Ovis aries: one gene and its partners. The protein of the gene in region 1 purifies or fractionates together with the protein of each later gene. This does not show direct contact. Links are inferred from orthologs where the notes say so. Each region holds a gene or a part of one and is shown in the gene's direction. Other genes may lie near its edges. The genes, in order: SPDYC, CDK2 and CDK1.

Evidence for each region.
Region 2: the proteins of SPDYC (region 1) and CDK2 purify together in Homo sapiens (co-immunoprecipitation; 3 studies listed by BioGRID and IntAct, with this or other methods). This does not show direct contact. The link is inferred for Ovis aries from reciprocal best matches to the Homo sapiens genes SPDYC and CDK2.
Region 3: the proteins of SPDYC (region 1) and CDK1 purify together in Homo sapiens (co-immunoprecipitation; 3 studies listed by BioGRID and IntAct, with this or other methods). This does not show direct contact. The link is inferred for Ovis aries from reciprocal best matches to the Homo sapiens genes SPDYC and CDK1.

Annotation. Positions count from the first base shown.
Region 1 is NC_056074.1:39,830,876-39,836,067, forward strand, and holds SPDYC (speedy protein C), read left to right. Parts: upstream 1-1,811; 5' UTR 1,812-1,831; coding exon 1,832-1,973; intron 1,974-2,256; coding exon 2,257-2,315; intron 2,316-2,576; coding exon 2,577-2,662; intron 2,663-2,769; coding exon 2,770-2,941; intron 2,942-3,051; coding exon 3,052-3,376; intron 3,377-3,578; coding exon 3,579-3,613; 3' UTR 3,614-3,803; downstream 3,804-5,192. UniProt on the Homo sapiens protein: Promotes progression through the cell cycle via binding and activation of CDK1 and CDK2. Involved in the spindle-assembly checkpoint. Required for recruitment of MAD2L1, BUBR1 and BUB1 to kinetochores.
Region 2 is NC_056056.1:163,556,193-163,561,549, reverse strand, and holds the start of CDK2 (cyclin-dependent kinase 2), read left to right. Parts: upstream 1-2,057; 5' UTR 2,058-2,178; coding exon 2,179-2,294; intron 2,295-3,016; coding exon 3,017-3,094; intron 3,095-3,211; coding exon 3,212-3,332; intron 3,333-3,980; coding exon 3,981-4,151; intron 4,152-4,602; coding exon 4,603-4,704; intron 4,705-5,357. Other genes in the region: melanocyte protein PMEL, read right to left, coding at 1,095-1,170. UniProt on the Homo sapiens protein: Serine/threonine-protein kinase involved in the control of the cell cycle; essential for meiosis, but dispensable for mitosis. Phosphorylates CABLES1, CTNNB1, CDK2AP2, ERCC6, NBN, USP37, p53/TP53, NPM1, CDK7, RB1, BRCA2, MYC, NPAT, EZH2.
Region 3 is NC_056078.1:15,814,233-15,819,763, forward strand, and holds the start of CDK1 (cyclin-dependent kinase 1), read left to right. Parts: upstream 1-1,988; 5' UTR 1,989-2,059; intron 2,060-4,522; 5' UTR 4,523-4,547; coding exon 4,548-4,584; intron 4,585-5,531. UniProt on the Homo sapiens protein: Plays a key role in the control of the eukaryotic cell cycle by modulating the centrosome cycle as well as mitotic onset; promotes G2-M transition via association with multiple interphase cyclins.

The DNA of each region.
Region 1 (5,192 bases):
ACCACTGAGCCACCAGGGAAGCCCCTCCCAGGTCTTCTGGAGCGTGATCATCAGCAATCCTCTGATCTTCAAAGAGAAACCTGACTGAGTTCCTGGGAACCCATTATGATTCTTTGAGTTTCTTGAGATGCGTCACCGTTTTCACTCTAAAGTGACTCTCACTGCTTTCCTGTTCCGTGACTTCGAGTTTAATATCCTCTTCCTTCTTATCCCCCAAGTCCTCAGTTGAAAGTTTTGAAATGGGGAGCTATTGTTTCGTGAGTACTTAAAAATGTGAACTTAAAGGGTGTTAAGGCAGTACGTATTGTTCAAGTTATGTGTACTTTATTAAGGGAAAAAAAGGGGGGAGAAGTCACCTGTCACATGTAGGTGCTGACTGTCCCACAACACTAAAGAGTGAAGAGAAACTGAGTCAGTGAAGATGGAAAGGCTTAAGGTCTGCTTGGTGGGGCGTGTGGGGGAGCAGTGTGGAGGGGCTGAGCTAGGTGGTCCTGGGCAAAGCCCTCCTCCTCCACTTTGGAGCCTCTGGAGGGGCTCTCGTATCCCTAAAGGACCTTGGAATGGGGATGTGGCCCCAGGGAATTCTCACTCCAAGACAATCTCCTCTCTGGTTCCCAGGTTTGGGGATTCCTGTATCTGAAATAAATACAGACACAACCAGCGACCCTTCCCCAGCAAGGCACAATCACTGAATATTTATAATTTACTCATCAGCCACGCGCCGCAACCCAGGTTGGTAGCATTCTAGGTCCGCACCTTGGCACTGCATTTGTAAAGAGCGGAGAAGGGCTCCTGCTGCCTTTCTGGCCCTGGGGTCCCGCTGGCCTGCCCTCACCCTTCTCGTAGATGATGAAACTTGAGAGAAGCCTTTACCCAGGAGAGCCGCAGCTGGGAGGTGCGTGGTGGAGACTGACTGGGTTAACTCTAAGTGGAGGTGAGCGGTGATGACGAGAAGCCACACCCTTTCCCAGGAAGGGGCCTGATTGGTGGAGGGCTTCTAGGGCGGGGCAGCTCTGGGGCTATATAAACACACTCGTTGGGCTTGGAGTTACGCTGTAGGCTAACTCCTGAGCTCAGGTAAGTCTTCTGGAAGGAGGAGGCTGGGCTTACCTGAGGGAACCTAGATGGAGGCCCCTAGGTTGACCAAGCCGTTTTGGAAGGGACCCTCCCCCGAGACCTGTAGTTGGAGTCTCTCTCTTTGTAGCTCCAAATGTTTGCAGTGGCTCCACCTCAGAACTCGCCCTAAACCCCAGTATTTTTGTCTGATAACGTCCTTGTCTCTGGGCTTCAGTTTTCCCTCTGTGAAGTAATGGTCTGCTGGTCTTTTCAGGGCTGCTTGATGAAGGGTGAGGGGGTGGTTGTGAATTGGGTGGCAAGAGGCGCCATGAGTCTCTGGCTTTGGGGTCAGACAGGAACCACCTTGAAGTGGCCATGAGACCTCCATGCTTCAGTTTTTGTGTTTGCAAAATGGGTTTACTTACCAGGACTAAATAAGTTAAAGCGTTTAACACAGCTCCAGGCACTTAGGAAACCCTCAGAGGCGCTCGTTGCTGCTGTTGTTACTCTCTGGCCTGGTCTGGGGTGCCAGGAGGAGGCGTGAGGGTGCTGTAGCTCCCAGGAATTCTGCGGCCTGTCTTGTCTCCTCACCCCCACCCCCACCCCTGTTTCTCCATGCCCATCCCTCCACCCTCTGGAGGTCCTCTGTCAGGCCAGCCACACTGATCCTGTTGACTTGTGTGGGGCTGATGGGGTAAATGCTAAGTCCTGGGGCTGCTTTCTTTACAGGTCACCCTGTCCCACCCCACCCCACCCGCCCCCAACCCCCCAAGAGATGAACGATGCCCAAGATCCGGCCACAGTCCCTGGAGCTGATACCCAAGTGAAGCTGAGGGGCTGGAGCTGTCAAGGTGAGGGTGATGAGTCTTCCCATCTCCGCCAACACCAAGAGCTCCAGGCCTTTCTCCACCTTCTGGGTGAGTCCACTTGGGGGCTGGCACAGAAGGGACTGTGAGGACCAAGCGTGAACTGATGTGAGAGGTGGGATCTCAGCCTGCCCACGTCTTGGTCCCATCCCTTCTCAAGTAACTCTGGTTTGGCAGGTTTGCGAGGGGGCGGGATGGGGGGAGGCGGTTCATGTCAGACATGTCAGACAAGTGGGTTCAGTGGGGGCTCGGGCTTTGGAACTTAGAATGCTGCTCTCGTCTCCTGGGGTGAGGGTGGTAACTCCAGGCTACCATTTCTCCTCCTCTCCCCCAGAGCACAGTTTCCTCCAGGATTTCCTCTCCAAAGATCCCTGTTTCCAGATTTCAGACAAGGTGAGAGTGGGGGGAGAGTCCAGGCTCACTCGGGGAAGGTTGAATTAGTGGAGCCTGAGTGCTGCTAATGCATTGGGTCCCCTGGTTTGGTGGAGGGAATGCCCCCATTTTAAGCCCTTGTCTTTGCAGGTCCCCCCGCACCATTTTACCCTGGATTTTCTAGGCCTGCTCCAAGCCCAGAACCTGCTTGATGGGCCTGGCACAGTCCCCTCCCCTGCCCGCAGTGCCCTGCTCTAACTCTCCCCATTTCTGCGTCTGCAGTATCTCCTGGCCATGGTGCTGGTCTACTTCCGGCGTGCCAACCTGCAGCTCAGCGAGTACACCCACAGCAATCTGTTCCTGGCACTGTGAGTGGCCCGGGTGCCTGGTGGGGACGCCCACTTGGAGTCACAGGGTGGGGGCAGGGTGGATGCTTACAACCTCTGTTCCCCCTGTCCCCCACCTCTGTGGCCAGGTACCTTGCAAATGACATGGAGGAAGACCTGGAGGACCCCAAAAGCGTGATTTTTCTGTGGGCCCTGGGCCAAGATTGGCATCACCAAGTATCAGACTTCCTGCATCAGAGGGACAAGCTGTGGGCACGGATGGGCTTCAGGGCTGTTGTGAGACGCCAGAGCTGCGAGGAGGTGAGGCGCCAACCCCCCCCCCCCACACACACACACACACCAGCATCCCAGGGTGGGGGAAAGAGGCTGGGCCTCCCACCTCACACTTACCATCTACTCTTCTCATGCAGGTCATGGCCAAGGAGCCGACCCACTGGGCCTGGACTCGGGAGCGGCACCCCCACCATGGCAGGGCTCAAAGGAGCTACCCAAAGGCCCAGATCCCCCTCCCCCGGGGTCCTGGCCTCTCGCCACCCCACTGCCCTCTCTGTGCCTTGCCCCCTCGCCGCAGCCTGTGCTGCCACCGCCCCCGCCCCTTGCCTGTCTTATCCAAGTGCCTTTCCTACAATGCTGAGTGGCACCGCCCTTCATTCCAAGCTTGGCCCTGGAGTAGGGGCTTCCTCATTGTCCTGCCCACCCAGCTGCTACTGGAACCAGGCACCTATACCCTCCACAGTGAGTAGTGGACAGAAGCTGGGGGGTGGGGGGGGCAGGGTGCTGGGAGGAGCTGGAAGGCAGGTGTGGAGCCCAACAGAATGGGAAGGAAGGGCATGGTGCCTGGGGTCCAGCAGGCTTGGGCAAGTGTCCAGCTTGCACCCCCTTGCTGTGTGAGCTTGGCAGGCTTCCTCTGAGCAGCTCTCTGTCCTTCCTCCCCCAGTCTTCTCTAAGCTGCTGCTGTGCCCTCGGCGCTGATACTCGCAGGGTGAAGAACAGCCCATCTGCTTGCCTGCTGGCCCAGTGCTCTACTGACTGTGGCCCCTCCAGCCTCCTGTCTGCTTGGCCTCAGGCTGGCAGGGCTGCTCATGCCTCCTGCCCCTTTCTCCCAACCTGCAACTTGTACCCACTCTGACCTGACTCCTCTAATAAATTCATACCCACAGGACATCGGCTGTACTTAGGCCCTGGTCTGGGTCCTTCACCCAGGGTGGGAGTAGGGAGGAAGTTTTGGGGAAGGGGGGGATCTGCCAGATTTAGGTACCAGTGGTTGAGACCCCTGAGCACAGGCCCTGTAATAGCTCTCCCTTCCCACTGGTGACCAGTCATCCCGCTGTTTCTCCTCTTTAACATCTTAGTGGATGCTGACACCCACATAGAGCCCACGGAACTGAATGAAATGAGCTATATGCAGTCCTTAGAAGAGGGCCTGGGACCTACTGGACCAAAAAGAGCTCCAAAGGAAAATGGCTCTATGTCAGTCTAGGAATGCCTGCAGGGTGAGGTCTTTTTCAGAATGAGTCTTAGTCCTTGCTCTGGGCTGCAGTTGCCTCTTGTGACCCCATGGACTGTAGCCCACCAGGCGCCTCTGTCCATGAGATTTCCCATGCAAGAATATTGGAGTGGGTGGCCATTTCCTTCTCCGGGGGATCTTCCCAACCCAGAGATTGAACTCAGGTCTCCTGCACTGCAGGTGGATTGTTTACTGCTTGAGCCACCAGAGAAGTCCGTCTGATGTGATGAACTATGTCAAGTTTGCCCGTGCTTGGGTGGTGGTGAGGAGCAGGATTTTTGGAAAGACTGTCTAGAGTAGTGATTAAGACTTGGTCTTTGGTGCCAGACAGTTTAAGTTCAAAATCCAGGTTTCTGCATGACTTTAGCACAACAGATTTAATCTCCTCTACCGCCTCATCTGTAAAATGAGTATTACACTAGAAAGGATACTGTTTGAGATTTGGATGTGATAATACTAGAAGGGTTTAGAAGTAGATCTCAAGAAAGGAGCTCGGATGTGGGTGTTATCAGTAGAGGGAATTGCTGCCCAGAGAAAGGTTAAAGGGGAGTGTATCTGGAACAGAAAGAAGGCAGAGATGTCTAAGGGGTCAGGTGGCAGAGGAATCTAAATGTAATTTCCCTCCCTCCTCTCTGAGTGGTTCCCAAGAAGCATGGGGGTGAAGCCTGGAGGCTGCAGACATTAGAAGCCAAGACAAGGACTGTAAAGTATTTTTAAGAGTTCTTCAAATAGGTAATATAGTCACATATATATTTTGAATTTTGAACCAAGAGTCATCTCCTGCCCCTGACTACCAGCCACCTGGTTCTCCTTCCTGGAAACAATGGAAGTGATCATTTATGTCCATCCAGAGAACAAATCTAAATGTATGAAACCAAATGTGGTATAATAAAAATACACAAATTTGGTCTTTGTCCCTGGTTCCTGGCACAGAGTGCCTAATACCCTTGGAATTTCCAGAGTTATAGGAATGTCTTTTGTTATTCATAATGAGCTCCTATAGATCACACCAGAGTTTATGCTAATGAGGTTATTCTGGATGGT
Region 2 (5,357 bases), on another chromosome or scaffold:
GTTTCTGTAAAAAAGAATATTTTCTTAAATAAACATAATGTTAATTCACACTAGACAAAATTATCAAACTCAGTCCATGCAAAATTTCATGAAATATAGAAAAATGTCTTCTTATGATTTAAAAAATCTGGATCCAAAATGTAAGCACAATATTTTAAGAGCCTTGGGTGGACACATATGAACAGAATATTTCCAGAATACAATAACGAACATAGTAAAAGAAAAAGACTTGAAACCACACTGTGAATGAGGGAAGTCAGATCAAGGAGAAGTTCCAAGAAGTCTGTGAGACCAGGGATCTAGAGAAAGGGGGCACCGGGGTACAATGTAGATATTTCTGCACATCACAGACTATCCTCACTCCATCTCTAACATGTACCAGAAACCTGGTTGATTCTCCTGGGGGACGATCTAGAATCATCCCGCTGAATATCTCACCACAAGAACAAGAGAATCATAAGATGCCCCATTCTTTCTCCACTCCCAATCCTCCCTCCTCAGAGCAGCACGAGACATTCCAGACCCTCTCACCACCCCCACCCCTTGCTCCCGTCACGAGGCCCCAATCCCCAGAGCCCTTTCATGTGATGCTCAGCTGAGACCCCTCTGCCTATCTCTTCCAGCCCCAGAACAAAAGCCTGGGCTGTGTTCACCCATGCCCATCCCAAAGAGGGGATGAGGTGCCTCTTTACCCTTCTATCCAAACACCACATTCGCTTTCTCCTCACTTTAAATACCCTATCCCAAGTGCTTAAGACAAAGCCTAAATGAGTTTCCACTCATTTTACTACCTTGGCACCCATGTTCCAGCTCACTATTCAGAGCATCTCAAAATTAGGGCCACAGAGACATACTGTTCTCTCACCCGTCCAGGTAGATGGGGTTGTTTTCAGGTTCAGTCCCAAGTGCCTGAACACATATGCACCCAAATCTTCATGTGGGGAGGGAGCTCAGTTGCCCATGTCCTCACTAAATCAAATGGATGAGAAACACCTGAAGCACTGCTGCTATCTTCCACTTTAGGGAGAGAAAAACCAGAGCAGGTGTGTAACCCTAAACTCACACTTGTTCATGTCCACACATCCCACACTCACCTTCTGTGGCCCCTACAGCCAGAAGAACACCCATCAGAGCCACATGGAGAAGGTATTTTCTCAGCACCAGATCCATCCTGTTCTTCCTTCCAGCAACCAAAGACTCTGGGGCATTGGACAAACCCCTGTATAAGAAGGGGGTGCTTATTTGCATAGCCCTTCCTCCCCTCCCTCCAGGCAAATCCTGGGAGGAGCAGAAGGATCTGAGAGACAGAACAGAGGAGGGATCCTGGTCCCTGGACATCATGCTACTCATTGACAGTTTCTGGCTTCACAGGGTCAGTCTCATCTTAAAGTACTCCATCTCCCCTCGCGGGGAAAAAATGACTGAAGGGCAGCTACAAAACATAACACGTACCGGACGCACAGGGTTCATCATTGGAGAGTGGATCAATCTATTGTGAGTCAAACCAGGAACCTCTCAAAATAACTGTAGAAGCAGCGACCCTGGGTCCAAAAACAGACAGTATTGGGGTAGGCTGAGAGAAGTGGGACAACGACTCTTCGGAGCCCTAGGAAACCCTTACAATGAGATTTCCAGTTTCCTGCTTTCAGAGGAGGCTCCAGGGCGAGGTGGAATTTAATACATATTTTCCTTAGGGTGGTGAAAACGGTGATTAGAGATCAGGAAATCCCTATAGACTCAGGACACAGAGAGAAAACTCGATCCCAAATCAGATACTTGGAAAAAGGTGTTCAGCCTCCCCATCCAGATAAAAATTTATCCTTAATACTCCTCGGAACCAAAGTTACTCGGGGTGGGGTCGTTTGCAGCGAGGGACACAGGGCTGGCCCCGCCCTCTCTGACGTAGACCAATAGGAAGATCTGAGGGAGGAGCCAGGGAAACGCGGGAAGGAGAGGCGGGGCTTCTGGTGGCGGTAGGGAACTAGAGGGGGGAGGCGGCAATATTGTTTCAAGTTGGACAAATTGACAAGAGCGAGAGATACACTACGTTCCATCCCGACCTCGGGTCGCGGTGCTGGGCCCTGTTTCCCTCCTCGGCCCCCGAGAGCTGGGTGCCGTTTTTTGCAGGTTCCCAGGCCCCAGCTCCAGGGCCGGGCTGACCCGACTCGCTAGCGCTTCATGGAGAACTTCCAAAAAGTGGAAAAGATCGGAGAGGGCACGTACGGAGTTGTGTACAAAGCCAAAAACAAGTTGACGGGAGAAGTGGTGGCGCTTAAAAAAATCCGCCTGGACACGTGAGTGGCCTCTGTACCCGGGAGTCCTGACTCGGGAGCTCCTTGAGTGCCCCCCACCCCCACCGCAACAGGCGGGTAGCCTTCCAGGGACCGGAAGGTAGCAGGGAGGGAAGTCTTTTGAAGTGGAGAGGTGGGTTGAAGGACGAGTAGAGGGTTTCCCGGTGGAGACTATAGGATAGTGTAGAATCCATGGGAAATTTCCTCCCCAGAGGCGGGCGATGTCCCCAAATGTACAGTCAGAAAGTGTCAGGAAGAGGAAGGAGCCTTTTGAGATGGGATCCAGGACTCCCCGACGAGGAGATGGGTTTTGTGATAAGTGGTAAAGAGCACCCTTATAAATGACTAGACCAGCCCTCAGTGCCCCAACCCCACCCGCATCTTAGAATTCTCTCTTTCAAAAGAATGGCAGTTGAACCTTACTGGCACCTCTAGAGAGGCTGGGTGTTGTTACTTCCACACACACACACTTTTCCCCCTTTTAACTTCACCAAGAGGCTTTGCTAACCCAGCCCTGGGCAAAGAAGATATGATGATCTTAATGGGTCTAAAAAGACACTCCTGTCCATCCATGATTTAACCACTGAAGCACCCTTTCTCTCACTTAATTAGGGGATGCTGGGTTGGTGGGGGCTGTGGGTGGGGTGGGGGGAATGACTGTACTGCTGAGGGAAAAGAAATATTTGTAACCACATTCCCATCTCTGCTTTCTCAACTTCTCCAAGTGAGACAGAGGGTGTACCCAGTACTGCCATACGAGAGATCTCTCTGCTTAAGGAGCTTAATCACCCTAATATTGTCAAGTAAGTATGTATCTGGGAGGTGGGAGGTGCTCTGACAGTAAAGGAGAATGTCTTCTGTTTGTATTGTCTGGGCCTTTCTCTCCCTCACGTGTATTCCTGGACCTCCCCCTTCCCTAGGCTGCTGGATGTCATTCACACAGAAAACAAACTCTACCTTGTTTTTGAGTTTCTGCACCAGGATCTCAAGAAATTCATGGATGCCTCTGCACTCACTGGCATTCCTCTTCCGCTCATAAAGGTACTCCTTCTCATCAACTCCTCCCCAACATGGGCATGTTTTGGGAGTCCGGACTGAAAGCAGGCAATCCGGACTGAGTGTTGATTTATCTTGGTTTCCTTCCCAGCCCTCACCCCCCTACACACACACACGCACACACCTTTTCTTGTGGCTCTTTCACTGCTCATTATGCTTTTAACCCTAGGGCTGGGCAGGGGAATCAAAGAAGTTGAAACTCTAGTAAGTCAACTTAGCAGCTCAGGTGGAAGGTTCTTGAGATGAAACTCGGATAAATGGGACTGGGGGGTACTTGGTAGATGCCTCCAGAAAGCCCTTCCACCTGTTTGGTGGGAGAAATAGCCAGTGAGTCTCTGTTGTCCATTTTTCTGGGTTCCTTACTCCGGAAGCTACTTTCGATCAACCAACAAACATCCAACACACATTTATTGAACACTTTCAATGTGCTGGTCCACGCTATGGAACATAAATGCAAAACTGAATGAGACCTGATCTTATCCTCAATGGGTTGACAGTCCAACTGGAGAAATAGCTTGAAAACATAATTACAATTTAACTAGTAAAGGCTTTAGTAGAACTTTGGAGTTACAGAGGAGACCCTAATCTGCTCACGGTGGTGGAAAAACAGAGTCTTTTCTTTCCCCTTGTCAGAGCTACTTGTTCCAGCTGCTCCAGGGCCTAGCTTTCTGCCACTCTCATCGGGTCCTGCACCGAGACCTTAAACCTCAGAATCTGCTTATCAACGCAGATGGGTCCATCAAGCTAGCAGACTTCGGACTAGCCAGAGCTTTTGGGGTCCCTGTTCGTACTTATACCCACGAGGTGAGTCCTCCTCTGCATGTCTTCTCTGAACTTCCTGGGAGGTGTTAACAAGGACATTCATAGAGTTTTTAGTAACGATCTGGCCAGCAGTTTCTCACTAGATGGAAAGTATTTCTGACACCACAAGAGGTCTTAGAGTATGCACAGAATTCATATATTGATAGATACCGAGCCAGGAGACAGGTGGAAGGCATGAAATTTAAAATTATGACCATTTGCCTCAAGTTTTCCAAGAAGGTTGCAAATTGAGGGTTCAGAATATATGTTCCCCAGAACCATGGATTAGGCTAACTCTGGGCTAAGAAGTTGTACCCAGTTATTTTACTTAGGGGCAATGAGAGTAAAGGGAAGGATGGAGGGATAGAAGTTGCTTGTGAAGAAATTGAGTTAGCAGAATAGTGTTTAGAAACTGACGTGTGGATATCTTCATGTCCTGTACTCTTTTCCTCAGGTGGTGACTCTGTGGTACCGAGCACCGGAAATCCTTCTGGGCTGCAAATACTACTCCACAGCAGTGGACATATGGAGCCTCGGTTGCATCTTTGCTGAGATGGTATGGAGGCATGCCCATGGTCTACTCAGCCCACTCCTTCCCACACTCAAGAACAACAGAACTGTTTCTTGGCCCAGACCCATGGTCCTTCTCTTATCACAGGGTTCTTCCTTTAGAGTAGCACAAAGGGGGTCATGGAGAAAGGAGAGGGCTGTCATCCCTGATGTCAACCACAATGTTAGGATAGCCTCAAACAGCTTAGCATCCAGTATACAAAGCTTATCTCCAAACTGAGCTAAATCATTTCTGCAACTGTGCTAGCTTTAGCCTACATATATTTGGGAAAATAAGTTCCATTTAGCATCTCCTTCATTTGCCTATAGACCTTATTTTAGGGCATCAGGAAGTGGTGAGGCCAGCTGTATCCACCTTATCCACACCTTTTATTTAAACTGCAGACATGTCCCCCCCTCAACCTCTGGCTTTTCAGATTGAAGGATCCCTGAGGCCCAGCCTTATAAGGGAGCTCTCATTCCCTTTAATACAACAGTGGAGTGAGCTGAGTTTTCAAATCAAGTCAGCAGTATGTTTTATGGTCCCTTATCTGGGTTGTATCTGGGGGCATGGAGACCATTAGCCCATATATATAACATGCATTTATCCCCCAGTGCAATACTTTACAATTGCCCATATACGTCTCTCAATTCATCAAA
Region 3 (5,531 bases), on another chromosome or scaffold:
TAGTAATTTCCTCCTCTATGTTCTCATGTCACCTTAGAGCATAAGTTACAGCGTAAGTGCCAGAAGCAAGTTACAAGTAATGGTTGTGTTCTCCGACTCCCAACATCTCAAGCAGGAAAATACCTGACTGATCTTTGTGACATTGTATAGAAGTTGACCCAATGAACAGTCAATTGTATTTGCCAAGATGAGAGCCTAAATTTAGAACAACCCCTGAACCCTTGTGGCTCAGCTGGTAAAGACTTCCCCTCAGTGCGGAAGACCTGGGTTCGATCCCTGCGTTGGGAAGATTCCTCTGGAGAACGGAAAGGCTACCCACTCCAGTATTCTGGCCTGGAAAATTCCATGGACTGTATAGTCCATGGGGTGGCAAAGAGTTAAACATGACTGAGTGACTTGCACTTCGCTTCATCCCACCTGAAACTTTAAAAGATAACTAAAAACAAATAAAAACAAGCTGCAAAAATAGAGAAAGATAACTGAGTTAAATTTAAATAAAAATCTAGCATGAAAGTGTGGAAGCTTGTGGTCTTCTTTATGCTGAATGTCAAATGTATATAATGAATTACTAGCTGTTTTTAGATGATATAAATTAAATCCTTTGCTTAAGCCTCTCAGAGGGAAAGCTATATATATTTATTCTTTAAAATTAGTACCCTAAACTAGCAGAGAATAGTCTTCTCTAGAACACAGTTTTCATTTTATTTAAGGCAATTTAAGGCAGTTTTCATTTAAAATGTGAATTTGAGATTTTAAAAATAAGTTTTAAAAGTTATTAGGTTCAGGCCAAGTTTTCCCAAATCTCGTACTTCTACTATGAATTTAAAATATTCTGTCACCCAGGAGCACAAAATTGCCAAGGTTGAGTGTTTGTGCCACATATAGGGGGCCATGTGATAAACTTATTCCATTCCTTATCCTAATCTGGATCATCAAACACATAGTTGTAGAGGGCATGGTAATCAGTATTTGTTCCAGATCTCGATACAGTCAGTGGAAAGACTCTTACTATCCTCAGTTCTATTTTACTTTTTTATTTTCTTAAAGACTTAAGAATGATGTTCAGGTGCAGAAATCTCTTTAGGATATGGTGGAGGGCAATGAAAGAGTTTGGGGATACGGGATTATTTAAAGTGTAATTTAGATCTTTTTCTTCTCCCACAGAAGTGTGAATTTTTGTGTTTTTAAGAACATTTAAAATTCTGATGTGAGAATATTTTAACATTTAAGAAAAGAAAAATTTTGCTTTTTAATTTTTAAGTCAAAATGTTACATAGATTTTAAAAATGAAATTTAAAACAGTGAGGTGAAAACAGCTCAGCCATATATGTGTGTGAAATGTGACAAAAATGTATCTAACTCATATTCATATATATATTTATATATATATGAAAAGTTTCTTTACCCTGTTGAGGACATCTTTCCTAGTTTTCTATTACCTCTTTCTATTAAAACAAACTTTATTTGTTTTGTTTTTTGGCTGCCTTGAGTCTTAAGTTGAGCATGAGGGATCTTCCCCTTGGGACATGCAGAATCATGCTCTTTGACCCAGACTGAGATTCATTATTTTAGAAAAGCATAAATATACATTAGCTTTCAGTATCAGAAATGAAAGTAATGGGATCTGGATTACGTGTAGCACCACTTCTGTGATGAACTATTTGAATACCTCAAATTTTTATTGTGCCAATATTGGGAGAGAAAAAAACCCAACCCTGAGAGGACAGTAGATTTCTTATGACTAGAAACAATAAGACGACCCTATCTTGGAACGCGCTTGCGCTCAGACTCAGTTGGCGCCCGCCCTTCTGCTTTTTCTCCAGCCGCCGTTTCCTCCACCTTTCGCGCTCTAGCCACCCGGGGAGGCCAGCGTTAAGGGAAGCTAGGCTCTGATTGGCTCCTTTAAAAGTCTACGGGCTATCTGATTGGTGAATCCAGGACCCTTTAGCGCGGTGAGTTTGAAACTGCTCGCACTTAGCTCCAAAGCTGGCGCTTGGAAGTTAGGGAGAGCGTCGCCGACTTGGTAGCCGCCGCAGCTTTCGCCGCGGGATAAAGCCGGGTAGCGTTGGTGAGGTCAGGGTGTTGCCTATGGGGTGTCCACTCGGAAGGGCTGGCTCGCGGACCTTGGAGGGGGAGTATTAATGAAGCAGGTGATAATTGGGAGGCTGGGCTCTGGGCAGTGGGGTTCTGCGTACCGCCAAGCCCGGCCTTAACCGGAGGCCCCGGGCCTGCGCATGGAGCGACGCCCAACCTCGGCTTCAGTGGGAGGCGTGGGGGAGCCCAGCCCGGCCAGGCAGGGTTGGCATTGCTGTGGTCTCTGAATTGCAATCTGGGGTCGCGGGCGGCTGAGGAGGCTTTCTGGGGTTGATGGAAGGCAGATTTGTGCCTTCGTTCGCCGACACCAAGCGCTTGTGGAGTGCCAGGCTCTGCCCTGCAGCTCCTAGCTTCGCCTCCGGGAGTGGAAAGCAAGATTGCAACTCAGCCCGGTGCTCGGGCCTGCTTCTAATCCCAGGTGGTCACGGGAAACCGACCGGAAGAACTAACTTGTGGGCCTTCTCAGCTTGCCTCTCTGCTCCCATGACCCTAGCTTACCTGGAGCTTTTAAGAACACTTATCCTGGGCATAGACCCCGAGAGAACTTGGATTTTTTGGATTTTATTTTATGCTTGGTGGTTGTTACATACAATGGAATTGGCAAAAACTGGAAATCTAAGAAACGCCGAGAGTTAGAAACGTGTCATTTAAAATCCTTTAATCAGTTTTAACGTGCAGGTCTTGCTTTCTTTAAAGACCTGGAGGTGTCTGGGTGGATGAAGCCATTGGTATTTTACATCCTGCCACTAGGAATAGAGGAGGCATTCAAAAGGCATTACGAAGCCACATCCTTTATTTAAAATAGTTGCAACCAGGGAAAGGTGAAAGAGTAATTGAACCCAGCTTTGAAATTGAGTTAGTTTTCAGTTATTTTGTTTAAAATAAGCTCCACAGTTTCATTGTGATTTGGGCATATTACAGCTGGATATTGAAGAAAAGATAGTTAGTCCTAATCCATTGCCATTTGTAAAATTGAACATTTTTAAGATGGCCAGAGTAGTGCAATTTTGTTTATTTAAAAAAGTTTATCTCTGCTTGTGTCTGGAATGATTTTGAAAAAGAATGTGAGAAATTTAACTCAAGGGTCAATGTAACTTAAGGTTCAGTGACCTTTATGATTTTATCAGTGATATAAAATGATGGTTTGGGCTTCTGAAGTTGATGTTTCCATGGCAAACTTACCAGGAAGTCTTGAGTATCTGGTTGTCATTTGGGCTTTTTTTTTCTTAACCATTTTTTTGTGTGTGTGATTCAAGTATATGGACATTCTTTGTTCTTGACATTGCATGGGATATAATTAGACTTTATGTATGGAATTGCCCATTTTCTTTTAGAGTGCTTAGTGATATTTCCTACTTTACAAAAGGTATCTTGAAAGTTTTTTTTTATCATGTTTGTGTTACGTGACTCCTGACAACAAGAGAAAGATAAAAACTGTCATTTGAGCAAGTTGAAATGAATATACTTTTGCTGCTTTAAATATTTTCTAATGGTTGAACAGTGTGACCACATTTTAGCTCCCTACTCATGTCTTTAAAAATTGTTTATTAACTTCATAAAAGTATCATGAAGCTACAAATTCAAGTAGCATTCATTGCTAAACTATTTGGGTATAACTGGCGCACATTGATGAGCCTTGGAAGTCTTATGTAAAGAACATCAGGGTTTTCTTTGGGACGGATAGATGTTGATGTCTGAATTTGAAAGTTAATTTTGAAAGAAGCCCCCAGGTGGCTCTAGTGGTAAAGAACCTGCCTGCCAGTGCAGGGAACATAACAGACAGTGGTTTCCATCCCTGGGTCAGGAAGGTACCTTGGAGGAGGGCATGGCAATCCACTCCAGTATTCTCGCTTGGAGAATCCTATGGCAGAGGAGCCTGGCAGGCTCCATAGGATCACACAGAGTCGGACACTGAAGCGACTTAGTATACCAAAGTTATCCAGGTATAGGATATACAAATATTTCCAATGTTTCAGAAGCTAAGAAAGGTGGGAGAGTCTTGAGCTCTTCCCCTTGTAAATATTGTTTTAATAGAATAGCTAATATTATGGAAAAATTTTTAAAAATTTATTTGTATTTGGCTGCACTGGATGTTCATTGCCACAAGTGACTTTCTCTAGTTGAGGCAAGTGGATGCTACTCTCTGTTGCGGTGCACCAGCAAGGTGCACAGGCTTCAGTAGTTGTGATGCTTGGGCTTAGTTGCCCTGTGGCATGTGGAATCTTCCTGGACCAGGGATTGAACCTGTGTTCCCTGCATTGACAGGTGGATTCCTATCCACTGCACCGTGAGGGAAGTCCTATTATGGAAAGTTAGTACTGCTCTAGGCACAGTGGGAAATTCTTTACTTGTAATATCTTATCAATAACTTAAAAGCACCCTTTGAATTGGTGACATGTGATCAAATAAGCTTTTCTTCTCATTTTAGGATCTACCGTACCCACTGATTAACTATGGAAGACTATACCAAAATAGAGAAAATTGGAGAAGGTGAGTGGCTTTAATAATATACAAGGAATTTTAAAAATGATTTAATGGTTTGACATGTAAATATTCAAATTCAGTTTTTAAAGTATCCAACAGTCATTAGTACATTAATATATATGTTCTCATATATATATGCTATATATAGTAGCATAAGCAAAAAAAAAAAGTTAACCTTTCAAGAGCACTGAAATTATTCTGACATGTCTCCCTACCAGCATCCCTCCAATAATCTTACATTCTTCTAATACTAAACACTTAAAGCAATACATCTGTGTATTTTTAAAAAAACACTATTGCTATTTTGTAGGTGTGTTGAGAGTGTTAGGGCAGTGAAATTATGTGCTTTAGTTTTAAGTATGTCTGCATATACTCTCTGAAGTACTAGTCAGGGTCATGTATTTCATTTGGTAGTTAATGTCTTCATGTCTTTTGAGTAAAATAGTCCTCTTGTCTTTTTCCCCCTTGACATTGAGTTTTTGACTACCTAATTCATTTCTTAAATATATCAGCTCTTATTTCAATCATTACCAAGTTGTTCTGTGATTTCCTTCTAAGTTAACAAAAATAATTCATTGAACTCAGGCAATAATTTGAACCCCTTTTGCCTTTTTAGATCACAGAGAACGTAACTATATGCATGATGTGGAACCTTAGTTGGCATTTAGCAGATACGCTATAACCATTTGTTGATTAACAGTTTTTCTGTTTATTGTTCAGTCTCCATAATTTGCCTATATTGAAGATTTTTAAATTTTATAATGCTTCAGTTCAGTTCAGTCGCTCAGTCGTGTCCGACTCTTTGTGACCCCATGAATCGCATCACGCCAGGCCTCCCTGTCCATCACCATCTCCCGGAGTTCACTCAGACTCACTTCCATCGAGTCGGTGATGCCATCCAGCCATCTCATCCTGGGTCGTCCCCTTCTCCTCCTGCCCCCAATCCTCCCAGC